5 linked regions of the Nothobranchius furzeri genome follow. The protein of the gene in region 3 purifies or fractionates together with the protein of the main gene of each other region. This does not show direct contact. Links are inferred from orthologs where the notes say so. Each region holds a gene or a part of one and is shown on either strand. Other genes may lie near its edges. The genes, in order: znf346; adar; interferon-induced, double-stranded RNA-activated protein kinase; dhx30; stau2.

Region 1 (3,519 bases), on a different chromosome or scaffold from region 3:
AGTTTGAACCAGTTGTCATTTAGCAAACTTACAGAAATGTGTTTCCGTTTTTAGATTTGGAGGGGAATGGATGATCTTTTCTCTACTGAAGGAAGATATTAATTTGTCTAATTGTTGTAATACTTCACATAACCCAGCCTTGGTGTACACCCATCGCTGTGTTGGTTCAGAACAGAAGCAAAGCCAAACAGGCATTCCTTTGAGCGTGCAGCTGCATCACCACTGGACCTCTACTAACATCTGTATTTCACTGATTACAAAGCTTGCTTCTTTAAAGAAAAATAAAACACAAGCCAAAAAGTTCAGCTGCAAACTGAGGAGATGCTCCAGGGTCCAGGTGTACATGACGGCTACACTGAGGAGAGTCAGACAGGAGCTGAAGGTAGATGAGTGCTGATGAATCATTAATGTGTTAAAGGGGGGCTGGTTGGAGAGAGCCGAGCCAAGTCCTGACTCAAGCCTCTGTAGTCCAATCTGGTCCAGCCTCAAGTGTACTGGAACTGCTCTGAAAACTCAGTGTACTCTGGAGCGTACTGGTCGTTGCTTTCAAACTGGCCTTCTTCAGCTCCATACTGGGAATCCTCTGGTGCATACTGGTCTTCTTCTGCTGCATACTGCTCATCTGCAGCAGTGTACTGGTCCTCCACAGGCATGAACTGGTTCTCATCACCTTGTGATTGTTCTGCTGGTTGCTGGTTCTCTGAGGTCTTCACGAATGATTTCTTTGCTCTGAAAAACAAGTTTTAAAGTATTTTGTGTTTTAAATTGTAATAAAAAGTTGAACATATTGAAAATTCATTGGTAAATAACAGCATGAATATAAAAATCCTGTTAAAGTGGCTAAATTGTTTTTTTTTCTCAGATGACACCATCTAGGGGAAAAAAATTATATATACCGTATTTTCCGGACTATAAGTCGCCCCTTTTTCATAGTCTGGCTGGTCCTGCGACTTATACTACGGAGCGACTTATATACCAAATTATGTATACTGCGCTGCTGCGGACTGGCTCTGGACCAAGAATAAGCTCCTCTGCCCCGCCATCACCTGCTGGAGACCGTGGTGAGTAGAGCTGAAACAACTACCGTAAATCCTCTAATACAGGCCCGGGCCTGTATTTGACTCAAGCTAATCAAGCTCCAGGCCTTTATTGGAAGGAGGGCCAGAATTAGAGGCAGGCCTCTATTTCTATTTGAGCAAAATGAACTAATGGTTCGCTGGAGTTTTTGACAATTAAAATTGCGCCCACATTTTCAAAGTTAAACACATTTCTTTTAACAACGGTAGTTTCTGCTTCAGCCCTCTCCCCCCTCCCCCTGCGCAGCGGCCGCAAACTCACTGATGCGCCTGCAGCCTCTTGGAGTTCCTGCTGCTCTAAACATTAAAATAATTATTTCATTTTCTGTTCCTCACTTCTGATTACCTTCAATGGTGTCTGTTTGTTGCAACCACCAGGTACAAAAACTAACTTGTTTTTATTTGACTATTTTTCTGTCCTGCCTGTTAATTATCTTCCTGCATCTCCTCTCAATCCTAAAGAAAAACTGCTACTTGGGTTCATATATATTCACCTTCCTTATGAGTTACCTTTGAACTGCAGTTCTAAAAGATCTACCGACCGCAAAAACAGCGGAGTGCCGCTGCTCGCCGGCCGACTACAATGGGAGCGTTTTTGCTGCGGAGTTCGTGCCGGAGCGGAGATAGTGGAATTTTGGGGGTGCGTCACCGGAGGACAAAACAGGTGATGCGCCTCGCTCCGCAGCAGCGAAACGCATCAGGCACAAATAACTGACAGAAAACATTAAAGGAAATGAGCCGACATGAACGATCGCGTGTTTAATTTGTTTTTGAGGTGGAGACACCTGATTTGGCGGTGCTCAGGACGCAGATGTCTGGAGCGCGTCAACGATCAGAGCTTTGCATGCGCAAACTGGTTAAGATTAGGATGGGAGTGAGGGGAAGGTAAAATTGCAAGAGGGAAAAGGTCACAGTTTGGTTAAATGTCCGTTTTACCGCCAGTGTCAGTGCCGACGCTCTGGCACAGCGCGTCGCCTCCGCCTCCCGATGCGCAGGGGCTCATCACCTGCTGTCTTTTCCGTGGACTGCATCTTGTCAGTCATTATCACCTGACAGCGACTAGTCGATGACAGGCATAAAAAGTCACTACAGAGCCATGAAGTCGACTAGTCGACTAGTTCATACAACCCCTAATGCCAACAAACCAGAATTAGTTATGTAATAAGCCTAAGGATTTGGCAATTTTACCTTTTATGTAACTAATATGTGATTTCCATGTCAAGTCTTCATCAATAAAAACTCCACGACATTTAGTTTCTTTTACTCTTTGAATTTCAATCCCATCTATTTCCAATGAGTTTTGATGCCTTCAGTGAGAATCTCCCAATGTAAATGGTCATGAAAATAAAGACAACACATTGAATGAGACAGGTGTGTGTGTGTGTGTGTATATATATATATATATATATATATATATATATATATATATATATAATTTTTTAAAAGACTTAATTGTTTGTAGGAAATGTTCCCCACTCAGCATCGGTCTAGGTACTTTCTCAAACACTCATGTCTGCTCTGTGATTGACATCTGTACGTTAGCTGATGTCCAACACTGTTGGTTAATGCTTAGCGGCACTCAGTTCAAATTGCATGGGGCTCTAGAGGATGGGGGACGAGCTTAGCAAAAATAAAAATGACGTAATGCCTGCATTACATCGTGGTATAGGGTAAGACTATAAATTATGGATTTTCAAATCAAAATTAGATATACAGTGCATCCAGCCTTTAATAAATTTGCAACAACTTCAAAGACACTTTTTTCCACATTATCATTATGGGTGTTGTGTGTTGAATTTTATGGGCAAAATGACTTTAATCCTTTTTGGAATGAGGGTGTAACATAAAGAAAAAAGTGGAATACTTTCCGGATGCACTGTAATTAGTGAAAATGTTTATGTTATGTTTATTTATTTGGCAGACGCTTTTATCCAAAGCGACTTACAATTTATAACCTATAGGGCATGTTGTGATCTGTGGGGAAAACCGGAGTACCCGGAGGAAACCCACGCATGCATGGGGAGAACACGCAACTCCACGCAGAAAGGCCGCAGCCGAGTTTCGAACCTGCAACCTTCGTGCTGCGAGGCAACAGTGCTAACCACTGCGTCACCATGCAGCGAAAAGGGGGAAACTCTGAATTGCTGCTTTAACCATCCTGGGTTTACTCACTGGTTCTTGTGCCGAGCCCCACTGATGTGAGACTGGTACTGCTCCACAGAGTTCAGCACGATGTTACAGATGGTGCACGGGTAGCCGTTTAGCGTCGAAGCTACAAAAGCATAGACAATAGAAGGTTAAGCTGTGGTAAAGACTATGATCATTAACCTGTAAATTTGTGAAAAGTTTTTTTATTAATCAGGTAAACATATAATTAACCACATTTAAACGGATAAGATGAGACCATTAGCACCGACCTGGTGCGGTGGAGGGTCCGTATGTC
Region 2 (3,132 bases), on a different chromosome or scaffold from region 3:
TCTGTCCCAGGTGTGTCTCTGTCTCAGGTGCGTCTCTGTCTCAGGTTTGTCTCTGTCCCAGGTGCGTCTGTCCCAGGTTTGTCTCTGTCTCAGGTGCGTCTGTCCCAGGTGTGTCTCTGTCTCAGGTGCGTCTGTCCCAGGTGTGTCTCTGTCTCAGGTGTGTCTGTCTCAGGTGCGTCTGTCCCAGGTATGTCTCTGTCTCAGGTGGGTCTCCGTCTCAGGTGTGTCTCTGTCTCAGGTGCGTCTGTCCCAGGTGTGTCTCTGTCTCAGGTGTGTCTGTCCCAGGTGCGTCTGTCCCAGGTTTGTCTCTGTCTCAGGTGCGTCTGTCCCAGGTGTGTCTCTGTCTCAGGTGCGTCTGTCTCAGGTGCGTCTGTCCCAGGTATGTCTCTGTCTCAGGTGGGTCTCCGTCTCAGGTGTGTCTCCGTCTCAGGTGCGTCTGTCCCAGGTGTGTCTCTGTCTCAGGTGTGTCTGTCTCAGGTGCGTCTGTCCCAGGTATGTCTCTGTCTCAGGTGGGTCTCCGTCTCAGGTGTGTCTCCGTCTCAGGTGTGTGACCGTCTCAGGTGCGTCTGTCTCAGGTGTGTTTCCAACAACAAAAACGATTCAGTGAAATAATTTCACCAAAACTTCTTGAAGCCCGCGGTTTTGGTCCAAATGGCGGTGCGATGTTCACAGAACAAAAACAAACTGAAACCTCTGATGTCATAAATGAAAAACTAATATTTGAGCTGCTTCGTTCAACGATTCAAAGTAAAAAACGTTCCTTTTGCACGTGTTTATCCAGCTCTGTCCTCACTATGACCTCACCAACGCTGCAGCCCCGCCCCCTCTGCAGCCTCCATCCAGCAGAAGACACTTCCAGCCTTCGAGTCTTTTTCCTATTTGACCCCCCCCCCCCCACACACACACACACACACACACCGGTCTACACCTCTCCCTGCTTCGACTCCCCCGGCCCCTCCTTTTTAACATTTCCATATCCCAGAAAGAGGCTCGCATCGCTGTTCCTGGTTCCGTCGGCCATCTCGAAACTCTTCTCCTCGAGCGGTTTGCCGATCCAGGCTCCGTAGCCGTGGACGCTAAGAGCTTTGAAGAACATTTGCTTGGCCAGCTGGAAGGACGTGGCCGACATCTTGGCCTGGGCGTAGGAGGGCAGGCTGAGGAGGTCTGGGCGGCTGCACCGCTGGCACAGCTGGCGGAACAGACCGAACAGGTTGGACTTGGACACCCGGGACACGGCCTGTTTGTTCCTGCAGGGAAACGTTTGGAGTAGTTTGGTATTAAAGCAGAAAAACGTTTTCCGTCACATGAATGAGAATTTAGAAGGCTCAACGCTCTTCTAAGACTTGCAGCCTCTAAAGCGAGCAGACCCGGTCCTCGAAGCGCACCGTCCTACATCTTTGCTCTGAAAGATCTGGTTTAAATCAAAAGCTCATTAACAGACTGAGATTTAGGGCACACTGAACCAGGAGAAACATCTAAAAGCAGAACAGAGGCGCCGAGGACCAGGACCGGACACGCTTTTGGACTGATGGCTTGCAGAAAACAAACAAACAACAATGCAAACATTAGGAACGGGTCTATTTACCCGTCCAGCTTTCCTTTGGTCCCATCCAGCACCTCCACACTCTGCTGGTCGGGTAGGCACCAGTTCACGCTGGACTCCTTCGTCTTCCCTGTGTGGCGCGTGGAGTCGTACACGCTGACTCTGCCCACCTACGGTCCAGCCAGGAGGAGAGACGTACGTTCAACATTTAACGCAGGTCAGAAAATTCCAATCGAGTGAGCGTCGGTGAAAGCCGCCGCGGCGTTCGGCGTCTTAAGAGGCGTGCAGCTGCCAGCGAGTGTATCCCTGTCATTTCTTCCAGGCGGCAGGACGGGGACTGCTCTACTTTTTGCTAATTGATGGACGAGTTTCATTTACATTAGATGAAAACAGCGGCGGGTCGGATTAATTATTGCATTTAATGAGTATGACCTCGATGTCTCTGATTCATGTTTGTGTCTGACTTTGCAGAAAATAAACTTGTACATCACCTCTGGGTGGTTCAACCGGAAGGAGGGCGGGAGGCTGTTGGAGAAGTCTTCACCGTCTCTGGCCAGCCTGCAGCAGACGGCGCGGGTCAGGTGACCGTGGCTGTACAGGTAACCTGGGAGGAGACGTGACGTCAGAGCCGGAGTCGTCTACCTCAGCGGACGTTAAATCTCACCAGCTTTACCGAGTGTGATGGACTTCAGGTAGATGGGATGCAAGAAGCAGGAGAGCAGCGCCCCCTGGAGGCCGAGCACGTTCCAGCGCATGATCTTATCACTGCAGCTCATGGTCCGCAGCCTTTCGCCGTGCTGGATGCCGTCCCAGGTGGGGACGATGGCACTGGACTCCACCGGGATGGTGCCCTCACCTGGAGACAGCAGCACACACACATGCAGGGACTCCAGCCGCCAGACCTGCTCTATAAAAACCATCACCGGGTGTCTCACCGTTCTCCACTTTGGTACGAAGCTTGCCCTGCTTCGCATTCTCAAACAGAGGCTGGTGGCCTTGAGCGTCGTCTCCCGCCTCGCTGCAGGACTTGTCGAACAGAGCTCCGTCCCCACAAGGCGCCGTGCTGCGGGTGAAAGAACGGGAATGAGACGCCGACGTCAACGGGAAACGCAGATTCGCCACATGGAGCATTCTCTCCACCTGATGTAGAGGTGAAAGGTGATGTCGGGTTTGATCTGGAGTTTGTTGTCCTCCCCCGGCTCAAATATGCTGTCGTCGGCGCCGTCGTAGTGCCTGAGCAGCTCGCTGTACAGAAACCTGAGAGCAGAGACGGCGAGTTAGACGCCAGAGTCATGCAGACTGCTTCCAGGAGAGGAGAGAGTATTTTTGGAAACGAGGGAGGAACATCAACAAGGGAGCATGATATCCGTTTCTACCGAACGAAGCCCCTTCTGGAGATGATTTCAGCATGGCAGTCGTTGACCGTCTCCCCTTTGAGGCTTAGCTCCTCCCCTTTGACACAACGGTTCCCTAACAGAAGAAAAAAAAAGGAGACGTACTGAAAGTCAAACCCTCTGGCAGCTCATTACCTCTGGGTTCTGCTGTGACCCGATTCTGGAGCTGTTAAAACCAGCTGACACGAGGGAAAA
Region 3 (4,232 bases):
TATATATATATATACAATGTGGAGTTATCTGTATTTGCAAATTAAATCTTTGTATTTAAATTTTATAATAGGAAATGATCTGTCAGTCTTTGTGGTGACGGCGCATAAAAATGGTCTCGTATATTTGCCTCAATAAAGTAAATCATGAACTTCCCTGGATTGGATGGGCAGATAGTCTTCTACTTTCTTGGTCTTAAAAATATTTTTTTTATTTATTATGTTTTAAAGATCTGCTCTTCAGTAAAAGTCACTTACCCCCAAATTCCACTACCTCCGCTCCGCTCCGGTCCGCCCCCGCCTTACGCAGCCGCTTGCTTCTGAACTCAATTTTTACTGGTGCGCGCTCTACAACGGCTCCGCTCCGGTGTGGAGACCTGAGGGGGGCAAACAAGCATGCGTGGGATTTTCGAGATCTTGCGATACAGTCTGAGCAATAAACGCGGAAGTTAGATCCAAACACCCGTTGTGTGGGAGAAGCATCGAAATGAACTGTTTAATCTGCCCATCATTTGTGTTGAGAGATCAGCAGTGTTTGGATCAACAAAGTGTGACTACTTTGATAGTAGAAACTGTATTTATGGCTTACTTTTGTGCATTTAAAGTTCAGCCGTCATTGATCGTTGTTAAAAGTTGTTAAACCTGTGCATATGAAACAAAAAACGCCTTTTGTTTATCGATTTATTGTGAAATAACGGAAGCTGTGCTTGCTCCTTTTCCTGTTGAGCGGTTGTGATTCCTGTCCATTGACTGCGGAGGTGCTCCGGCGTCCGGCGAAAATAGGCTCAATTCTATTTTTGCCGGACGCCGGAACAGAGGGCGGCGCACTGCGCCGCAGCACAGCCGCAGTAGTGGAATAGCTCTGATTGACTACAACGTTACCGATTTTACTGCGGAGTTCGTGCCGGAGCGGAGGTAGTGGAAATTGGGGGTTAGGGAAAAAGCATTCGTAACAAACACGTTGTAATACTTTTTTTTTTTTTCCAGAATTTAAGTTATCTGCATTTTTTAGGCATATTAATACAAATCTGAACATCATCAGAGAGGCCTAGCATTCTGCTGGGGGCAACTACGGTCAAGGGCCACAGTGGCCCTCGCCCCACATGTTGGACACCTGTTGTTATAAACAGCATTTATAAAGCATTGTCTCTAAGATGTTAAACAAATTACTCAATCAAAATTATTTACATTTGAAGTCTAAATTTGAATAAACTATCATTAGTCTGCTAACTTTAAATTTACTGACATAAATTATCTTGATCTTTTTCTTATTGTTGAAGGGATGAGAAGGTGATTCTTTTTAAATAAATGTATTTATACTTACTAGAAATGTAGTGTTTTATAATAGCTTTACAACACCAAAAGTTGCACCGGAACTGAGCGACCGACTCTTCCAGTTTCATTTTCGACCGAACCCGATAGATTGATGCCCAGAATCGAAACCAAGCGGCTGGACGGTTTCCGTCTGGAGGAGCCCGCAGAGCCGCCGCCGCGGAGGACCAGAGACACGAGTCTCAACCAGATTCCTCCTGTTTTCTGTCATTTGCTGCGTCATTACGATGGAGCCCTACAACGCTGTAGCTAAACTTCACGAATATGCGCAGAAAAATCGTCTGTTGCTGAATTATGAGGTCCTCGGTGTTGAAGGCCCCGACCACATTAAAAAGTAAGTCGGTTCCTAACTCGACTGGTGTGTGGCTTCAGGGGAACTTAACACGTTTATGCCATGGTTCGAGTTGAACTTTCATTGTAGCGTCTGTTCTAGAAGCTAAAGACACGGACTAGATGCTACTGTGGGAGGTTTTAGAAAACATGCTGTAAAATTATTTTCATATTTCAGTTCAACTGTCTGAATGTCCTAAAGCTGAACCCACTTCACGACGGCTACTACATTACCTTGCTGTTTAACCTGATTTGGTCACCGTTGTATATTTTGAGACTTTTGAGGACGCTGCTACCCAAGTTGGCCTCAAAGAAGAAACTTGATCATCATCATTGATCCAACTAGCTGAGGCAGATCTTCCTCAGAGGTTCTGGTCCATCCTGAAATGACAGCATCAGCTCCATCGGTGATGGACTGTGGTCTTTGATGGGAACCTCCAGTTCCACCACATCTCAAAGGTTCTGGACTGGACTATTGACTGGAGGTCATTGGAGTCCAGGAAACTCGTGGTCATGTTAACAAGTTAGAGCTGATCTGAGCTTTGGGACATGGTGCTGGAAGTAGCCATCAGAAGATGGGTCCATGTGGTCATAAAGGGAAGATGGACATGGGCAGCAGCCTGAGTCATTAGGCAGGATGGATCCATGATTTCATGGCATGGACACCAAATTGTGACCCGACCATGTGAATGTTGCAGCTGAAATCCAGACTCATCAGACAAGTAAAGGTTTTTCCAGACTAGTGGTCCGTTCTGGTGATCCTGTGTGTGTTTTGCTCATTTTGAGCTCTTCTCTGTAAATCCTAGAGATGGTTGTGGGTGAAAATCTCAGCAGGTTGTGAAACACGCATCAACCACCAACAACTATGCCACATTCAAAGCCCTTTAAATCACCCGTCTCCAATCTGGTTCTCAGTTTGAACTTCAACAAATCGTCTTCACCGTCTAGAGGCCCAATGTGTTGTATAATTGTTGTGATTGTTTGATTAGCCATTTGTGTTAACAAGCAGTAGACCTAATAAAGTGGCCATTAAGTCACTTAAATTATTATGATGTTAATTATATGACTTCACAATATATTCCCAGAGTCCCCAGTACTTTGTTAGGTTATAGCATGTTGTGCAAAGGGAAAAAGAAAAAATGTAAAATATCATCTTTGTTTGCTTTTATAAATGGTCTTTTTGCATAAAAGCATTATTACAACTTTTGTTAGATGTTATCTACAGTCCTAAAGTGAAGTGATGATATAGTAAATTGTATGAATGAGAGATTGATGATATCATTTCTCCACAGATTCACTCAGAGAGTTGTTCTAGATGGCAAAAAGTATCCATGTGGTGAGGGGAAAAGCAAGAAGGATGCCAAGCAAAATGCTGCTCATAATGCCCTGAAATGTCTGTGTGAAGATGGACATCTGGACTCTGTAAGAATATTACCTACTCAGCAATTACAAATAACAAAAGCTCATTTCCTTTACAAAATGAAATGTTGAATTTACTTAAACAGGCTATATCAGCTGGTTTCAGTAAACCTAGTTGCTTAAATGTAAAGAGTAGTATACTGTACATGTACTTGTAACAACAACAGTGAGTGTGTGTGTGCATATATATATATGTATATATATATATATATATATATATATATATATATATATATATATATCCAAATTTGAATACCGTCTAACTTCCTCTTAATTTTACCCCGGTATACGGTATTACCATGAATACTTAAAAAGTATGACGTAAGCCTCAAGTGGACCTTCACCTTTCTGAATCCGAATACCAAACACTAAAAAAAATAACAACGTAACTCACATACTATTAACAACATTTATTAACACAAAAAAACGCAGCTTATAAACAAGTGCAAAGAGTCAACAGTCCAACAGCAATAAGTCAACATGAAAACCCAGGACCGCTGTTGTGCACAAATCAAGTGAACAACTTACCAACGAGCAGCATGAAACAACAAGAGTTGAATAACCATAAACATTGAAATTATAAAAATTATTGCGACCAAAACAACTGAATTAAAATTATAAAAAGAAAACTCCGTCACACGGCCACACGCGTGCGGGTGCGCACACACACACACAGGAGTGTGAACATTACGGCATGTTGCAGCAAATCTAGTTCAGATTTCTCGCCAGAAAAACCAGCATGTTTACTTTTTCTGGGTTCAGATTTGCACGTTGTGGACCAACAACTTTACCTGCGGTGCTGAAAACCCGCTCTGATGGTGAGCTGGTGGCACAAATACATAGATGCCTCCGGGCCAGTCGTGACATCTGGGGAAAACGACTGGCAGCATATTTCCACCAGAGAAGAGGGTCTTCGTCCCCTTGAATGACAGGTTCCAAACAACACGCTGTTATTTCAGCTCCAGCTCGCTGCTCTGCGCCGACGGGACCCTCCGGCGCAGCGTCAGCGGCTCGTTTTTGCAGAAGAGCTCCCAGAGACATCTTTTTGCGTGGGGGTTCAGGTTGTGCTCGTTCCTCTATGGTTCGGATGGCCACTGCTTCAGGTGCTGCTTGCCCCTCTAAGCTCACGATCTCAGCCTGTAGTTCAGCTTTGA
Region 4 (2,983 bases), on a different chromosome or scaffold from region 3:
CTTGGCCTGGACAAACCAAACACAAATGACTAAAAAGGAAATGTATTTATGTTTGTTTTGTAAACAAAGGAAAGAAATGCCAGAACCAGATTGAAACTTCCCAGAGAATACTGGATTTGTTATTTGTGTCATTAATGGGGAAACACACAAAAAGACCTACATTCCAAAACGGTAACAAGTCACCTCACCTTGTTGACAAGTGCCCGATTCTGCAGGCTGTTGAAAAACGGGTCTCTGGTGAGACAGGCAGCAACAGACAACATGGGCAGAACACATCTGAACACGGCACTCAGAACCAGAACTTTGCCCAGCCGCGGGTCACACGACATACAAGCGACCCGCTGGCCTAAAGGAGTCAGCGTCTCAGTCTTGTCCAGAACTCCTGTTAAAGCAGGACATGGTAGAGAATTTAAATCTATAAACCAGTTTCACTGATGGTTTCACTTCACTCACCAATATCTTGGAGATTCTGGACAGCGTCTCTCACTGCTTCTGGTTCTGGACTATCCAAAACTCGGGACAAGAAATCTCCAGCCTGCAGGCACAAACAACAAGTTATTATTCTATTTAAAAAAATAAATAAATAAATAAAAATAAATAAATAAATCAGTAGGTCTCTTTAAAGTACCTTGCAGTTTGGACAGTGGATTTTCACCTGCAGCACCAAACTCTCCAGAGGGGTACGCAGGATCTCAGGAACAGGAAATGGAGTCATGGTCTCCAGCTGTTGCCTGGGAAACAGGTGGTAGGACCGTCCTGGCTGACAGCGTCCTGCTCGCCCCTTTCTTTGTGTGACGTTAGAGCGAGATATCCACACCGTATCTAGGCAGGACACCTGGAAAACCAAAGGAATGCAGACATTTTACTGGAGAAATAAACTAAAGCTAGCTTTGTTTGCTCGTGAATTCAGGCGGAAAATAAAAAACAACCTTCGTGCGTGGGTCATAATTCTGTTCTTTATGAGTTCCAGCATCCACCACATGAACAATGTCGTCGATGGTGATGGAGGTCTCAGCAATGTTAGTGGCAAGAACTATTTTCCTCTGGCCCACTTGGGGGCGCTGGAACACCACCTGCTGGTCAGCCACTGATAAGCTGGAGTGCACTAGAAATCAAATTTAAGCAGTTAGAACTCTGAAATTGGGGAAAGCAAATCCAGACGTGCTTGACGTTCTTACACGGCAGGACCATGTGGGAATCAGAGGGAGTTAGTCGTTTTGCTTCAAGTTTGTCTTGAACGGCTCTGATGTCTTGCCACCCAGGGAGGAAACACAGAATTGCTCCTGATGATCCGAAAAGAACGATTTAAAAACATATTTTAAAGAAAAAAGGCATTTTTTAAATGTTATTGAGCGTTAGGTACCTGGTTCTCCATGTTTGTCGATGTGCTCAATGACATCTGCTACCAGGTCTGGATCAGGTGCTGCCTCATCTGCTCCCTTCTTAGAAATCGGATAAAAACAAAACAGTCATTCCACTAAATTATATAATTCTAAATGAATAGAAAAGCTAAAACCTGATAATCCATCACCTTGTCTCTTGAAAGTGGGCGTCTCATCTCCCTCAGCACGTCCTCCAGGTAGTGATCTTTTACCGGGTGCATGAAGCCTGGTACCTTCACAATGGGACAACCCCCAAAATACTCAGCCAGCCTCTGGTTGTCTCCAGTAGCGCTCATTAGCACAACTCGTAGGTCTGGGTTTTCATCCAGGCTGGAGCGCAGCAAGGCCAGCAGCAGGTCCGTGTTCACGTCCCTCTCGTGGACCTCGTCCACCACGACGTGGCTGATTCCTTTCAGGGTGGGGTTTGACTGGAGCTTCCTCAGCAGGACGCCCACGGTGAGGAAGAGCATGGATCCTCCGCTGTGCTCAGGGGGTCTACTCTCAAGTCTCACCTAAGAACAGAAAAGTATCACTGTCTGCACCAAAACCCAACAATATACATTTAGTTTAACTTCACTAAATGTTTCAAACCTTTTCAAAAAGCTAAAAAAAAAGATGGTTTAAATAAAAACACAAAACAAAAAGAAGCATAAGAATACTCAAATAAACATGGTTCAGCTAAATGACAGCACAAAGAGCCTGTGCCTACCTGATATCCCACGCGGTGTTTAAGATGCGGCCCCATCTCATAAGCGACGCGTTGAGCCACCGACACCGCGCTGATCCGACGAGGCTGAGTCACCAGGACGTTGCACCAAGCGCCCTCACCTCCTCTCACCTGCTCCTCCAGCAGGAAGCGTGGGATGCGTGTTGTTTTGCCACATCCCGTCTCCCCAGCAATGACAACCACCCTGGAGGATCGCACAGCTGACACAACACGCTGGCGATGAGCATCCGCCGGCAATTCCACGCAGAGCCCGGGCTTTGCAGTCTCCCATTCCTGTTGCAGCTGGTGGCTGAGCTGTTGAGCTCGTTGTTCAGACAGCGCGCAGTATGGCCTGCCGGTAATAGCGTCTGTTATATAGTCTTCCTCCTCCTCCTCCTCTTCACACTGCTGATTCACCTGCTGCCCCGTTGCCTCTTCTTCTTCCCAAAGTTTCTGAACTTCTGTCGCCACTGGGTACTATCAAATAGATGCCATTTTGTTGTGTTAAAAGCCTTAAAGGGGCATTATGGAAGTTTGACAGCCAAAACATGTATAGAAATAATAAATTTCTTCTTCACACATTCTCCTGCAATGCCCTGGTCCTGTAGAATGAGCCCTGGCATTTTTACTGTGATTGCCTGTTTTTCTGTAAAATCACAGAAAAAGAGGTGCTCGGGTCGAGCAGGCTGCTTCATGCGCGTTCACGCTCAGGCATAGCCCGTAGCATTTGCTATCCGTAGCTTTAGCAGCAGAGAGAGGCAGTGCCACTTTGTTGCTGTTCCTAACGCCTAGTGACAAAGCTAGCTACATATCTGAGGACCCTTAGCTACTTTCTGTAGAACTTTCCTCTAGATATTTCCTGCAAATTAGCAACAAAATAGCCATTTTTGCTCCG
Region 5 (3,519 bases), on a different chromosome or scaffold from region 3:
ACGTGATCTATATCTGATTCTGCTCCACAGAGCTTAAAACCCGATGAGGTGAACAGAGATGATGGTTGTCTGCAAACACTCAGATCAGAGGAGATGAGGGAGTTTTGTAAAAGGTGAGCAGCAGAAATGACTCTCAGGGTAAATTCATATAAGCATGGTTAAAGGTTGATTACAATTTCATTAGATGGCTTTAAGCAGACTTTCATAAATGTTTAATGTATATCTGCAATGATCAAGGAAAAAAAGAATCACAAGTGGCAAACTTTAGCTCCCTTTGAGTGAAGTGATGACAGTTTAGAGCGGTTTAGAACAACTTACCGTAATCATGATGTAGCATAAACAAATAGTTACAGACACTAACAAAACTAGAGGTTTGTATATAAAACAAATATGAAAAGTAAAAGTTGGCTGAAGGGTGTGGTGAGTACCTCTGAGGGGCTCTGAGGGACAGTGGAGGCCTTGTATCCCAGCTGCAGCAGCATCGCCTCAGCAGCGTTACGCTTGGCCACCTTCTTGTTAGGTCCTGTTCCCGTGGCAACCTCGTTATTCACCTTCACCTGCATGAGCACCCAAGAAACACACAAACAAGCGTCTGTACATGAAATGGAGAATGGGTTTTTGTGGCTTTGCTGATGCATTCTGTGTGACTTTTCTCCCTCCAGCGTTTTGATGCCCGTTCCCTCTCAGCCGAGGGATCTCGCTTTCTGAGCCAAGTCAGCCGCGCAACGTCAAGTGTTTGTTTTTCGGTAATCCCTGAGCATTAAATCTGTCCACGCGAATGTAAGCAGAAATCTCCAAGAGCATATCGGACATTGTCATGTTATGCAAACAGACAATTACACTGTACAAATAACACTCTGGGAGCCGGAGCATGTGAACAGCCAGGCATCGGCGCACTTATTCAAAGTGACCCGACAGGCTTGAGTGCTGCTCTGAATACACGACACAGGCAACGACATACAGTGAGAGCAAACAGCTAAATAAATCACCGAACCACTGAACACTTCCACTTTTTTATTAGCTTTTAAAACAACGATCAGCTCCACTGAAGGTATCTGTTTTAAGGTGGAGTTTGATTCTCAAACTAGAGATGGATTTAAACAAAGGAGATGAAAACAGAGGCTCATTTGAGCCCTGCTGCCTAACAGGGGGAAACAATGTGGAAATTTTAGAAGAGTGAGTGGACTGCACAAAAGAACACACACACACACACACACACACACACACACACACACACACACACACACACACACACACACACACACACACACACGCACACACACGCACACACACAGGGCCTAATGTGTGCATCAAAGAGGCATGGAGAATAGGTTTGAGGCTGAATTACTGCCTGATGCTGAGAGAAGCTCTGTTCCTCATGTGAAAGAAGGGGATTACGAAAGAAAAGACAAAGAGGGCGAGTTTGACTGAGGGATGGGAGAGAGAGGTGAATAAAAGCAGAGATGGACAAAAAAAATTGGAGAATCACAGTTGGGGTGACATGCATTAATAAAAATGGACAAGTCTAATTCAAGTGACGCGGCTAGCACACAAACAATTTAGAAGGTGTACCTTATGTGGAAACACACACGCGCGTGCACACACGCACACACACACATACACACACACACACACACACACACACGCCAACAGCAGGTACACTTAGAAGATCTGCTGCATATTTTTACCACCCATCAGACTTCATGCATTATTCCATCTTAACAAGGTTTTAGAAAAACACATCAACTTGACTTTTATGTACTTAGTAAACAAAAACATCAGATTTACTGATTTCACTTCTCTTCCAAATCCAAAACATGACCAAACTTAAGCCAATCAAGTTTAATTCAATCTAATTTAATTCAGTTTATTTACAAAGCACCAATTAAAGAGTCCTCTCAAGGCACTTCAGGAAGTAAACATTTCCAATTAAACCTACTTATTAGCGCACTGAGTTAAGTTTTTTAAGCCAGTTGGTTACACAACATTTGCACTAAGTAGTGCTTCTATGGCCGTATGCATTGCACTGCTTAAAGTTTATTGTGTAAAAATTGTGACGAGTCCAGTTAAGCCAGTATATCTCTGGAATTGTTGGTGATAAATTCTGAATGGTAATCATGAAGGAGCTCCCAAAATGTCCCCACGAGTTCTGCTCTCGTGTTGTTGGGAAATTTTGAACCAGCTCAAAAAAATTAAACTTATTCAAACGTTATTTTATTATTGTGTTTTAGCTCTGTTGACGGCTTTAACGAGTGAGAGGCATTACTTCCAGAAGTAATCACGGAAGGGATTAAAGTGCAATACATTATTTCCACCTGTAGATGGTGCTCTCTAAGACAAAACATTCCTGCTTTAAACCTTTCATTCTGTAGGAAAAGGCTAATATCTGAGAAAACAAGTCTGCTTAAAAAAGTATGAGAAACAAAAGTGAAACTCAAAAAATGAGAATGTGGAGCAAAAGTCCATTTATGCCAGTAATCCAACTTAGACTGAGAGACCATCTAAAGGCTCAGGAACCCTTTGCAGGTGTTTAGGATCCATTTGCTGATTAGTGTGTGACACTTTGAGTCTAGAATATTGAACCTACAATATTCTAATTGTCTGAGATTTTGAATTTGGGGTTTTCATAAGCTGCAAGTTGCAATCATCACAATTATAACAAACATCTGCCTTTGCATGTAATGAGTCTACCTTTCTTAGTTTAGTTTCTGTGTGTCATAAAAGTCTGAGAAATGCGAGACAACTGTGGGAGGAGTTGGCAACTACATAGCTAATAAAACAAGAGTAGAAAGCAAATAGAAATACGATTAAGACTTATTGACACAAAAGTGCAACAAGAACATTTGCAAAACAGTCAGAATATGTTTGCAATCACAACATGTCTCACGCTGCGACCAATACCTTTAAATAAAACTTGTCCAAAGTGCCAATTTTGTGTGATTCCCACAGACAATGTGCACACTGTCCTCACAATTGTGTGTCACCCCAGTGAGATTCTGGCTATGTCGTTTAAGTGAATGCTGCTGCAGCAGGAGCGTCTCCCTACAACAGCCATATTTCTCCTAGCGCTGCAGAAACCAGACCATGTGCTGTCTTTACTAGCTCCAACAGACAAACTGAAATATAGTAGTATAAAACAGTTGCCTGCTCCACTGAGAGAAAACAGGGCTGTGAAGACGAATGTTCATCTGTTCAGGGGTTTAATGGCACCAATGAAAACACGTAATAAACAGAATATGTTGAGAAGAAAAAGGCAAAGAAGATGAGAGATGAGTGAAACAGAAGGAGGGGACAGCTGGAGAGAAAAGGTATCTCTGGACTTTTTGCCTTTAATTATTTTGGTGACGCTAGCATGACCCAACTGCTGCTGGTGACAGAATTTAGTATTTGTAGCATGTCTCCTACAGTCGCTGTTCAAGTGTCTGATAATGGTTAAATATCAGAATGAAGTCCATTACCTGGGGGATCACACTCCTGAGCCTCCTTGGTAAAGTCTATTCAGGAGTTCTGGAAAGGACG

The links.
Region 1: the proteins of interferon-induced, double-stranded RNA-activated protein kinase (region 3) and znf346 purify together in Homo sapiens (affinity purification with mass spectrometry; 3 studies listed by BioGRID and IntAct, with this or other methods). This does not show direct contact. The link is inferred for Nothobranchius furzeri from reciprocal best matches to the Homo sapiens genes EIF2AK2 and ZNF346.
Region 2: the proteins of interferon-induced, double-stranded RNA-activated protein kinase (region 3) and adar purify together in Homo sapiens (affinity purification with mass spectrometry; 3 studies listed by BioGRID and IntAct, with this or other methods). This does not show direct contact. The link is inferred for Nothobranchius furzeri from reciprocal best matches to the Homo sapiens genes EIF2AK2 and ADAR.
Region 4: the proteins of interferon-induced, double-stranded RNA-activated protein kinase (region 3) and dhx30 purify together in Homo sapiens (affinity purification with mass spectrometry; 3 studies listed by BioGRID and IntAct, with this or other methods). This does not show direct contact. The link is inferred for Nothobranchius furzeri from reciprocal best matches to the Homo sapiens genes EIF2AK2 and DHX30.
Region 5: the proteins of interferon-induced, double-stranded RNA-activated protein kinase (region 3) and stau2 purify together in Homo sapiens (affinity purification with mass spectrometry; 3 studies listed by BioGRID and IntAct, with this or other methods). This does not show direct contact. The link is inferred for Nothobranchius furzeri from reciprocal best matches to the Homo sapiens genes EIF2AK2 and STAU2.

The regions. Positions count from the first base shown.
Region 1 is NC_091750.1:54,165,638-54,169,156, forward strand, and holds part of znf346 (zinc finger protein 346), read right to left. Parts: coding exon 3,494-3,519; intron 3,349-3,493; coding exon 3,249-3,348; intron 730-3,248; coding exon 486-729; 3' UTR 1-485.
Region 2 is NC_091745.1:78,176,750-78,179,881, forward strand, and holds part of adar (double-stranded RNA-specific adenosine deaminase), read right to left. Parts: intron 3,014-3,132; coding exon 2,920-3,013; intron 2,801-2,919; coding exon 2,684-2,800; intron 2,607-2,683; coding exon 2,479-2,606; intron 2,400-2,478; coding exon 2,217-2,399; intron 2,148-2,216; coding exon 2,035-2,147; intron 1,714-2,034; coding exon 1,586-1,713; intron 1,248-1,585; coding exon 923-1,247; 3' UTR 1-922. UniProt on the Homo sapiens protein: Catalyzes the hydrolytic deamination of adenosine to inosine in double-stranded RNA (dsRNA) referred to as A-to-I RNA editing.
Region 3 is NC_091752.1:1,779,454-1,783,685, forward strand, and holds the start of interferon-induced, double-stranded RNA-activated protein kinase, read left to right. Parts: upstream 1-1,424; 5' UTR 1,425-1,556; coding exon 1,557-1,663; intron 1,664-2,951; coding exon 2,952-3,081; intron 3,082-4,232.
Region 4 is NC_091751.1:51,205,369-51,208,351, forward strand, and holds part of dhx30 (ATP-dependent RNA helicase DHX30), read right to left. Parts: intron 2,566-2,983; coding exon 2,092-2,565; intron 1,895-2,091; coding exon 1,532-1,894; intron 1,443-1,531; coding exon 1,364-1,442; intron 1,284-1,363; coding exon 1,179-1,283; intron 1,106-1,178; coding exon 930-1,105; intron 836-929; coding exon 629-835; intron 536-628; coding exon 454-535; intron 383-453; coding exon 189-382; intron 7-188; coding exon 1-6.
Region 5 is NC_091747.1:52,993,639-52,997,157, forward strand, and holds part of stau2 (double-stranded RNA-binding protein Staufen homolog 2), read right to left. Parts: intron 558-3,519; coding exon 429-557; intron 1-428. UniProt on the Homo sapiens protein: RNA-binding protein required for the microtubule-dependent transport of neuronal RNA from the cell body to the dendrite.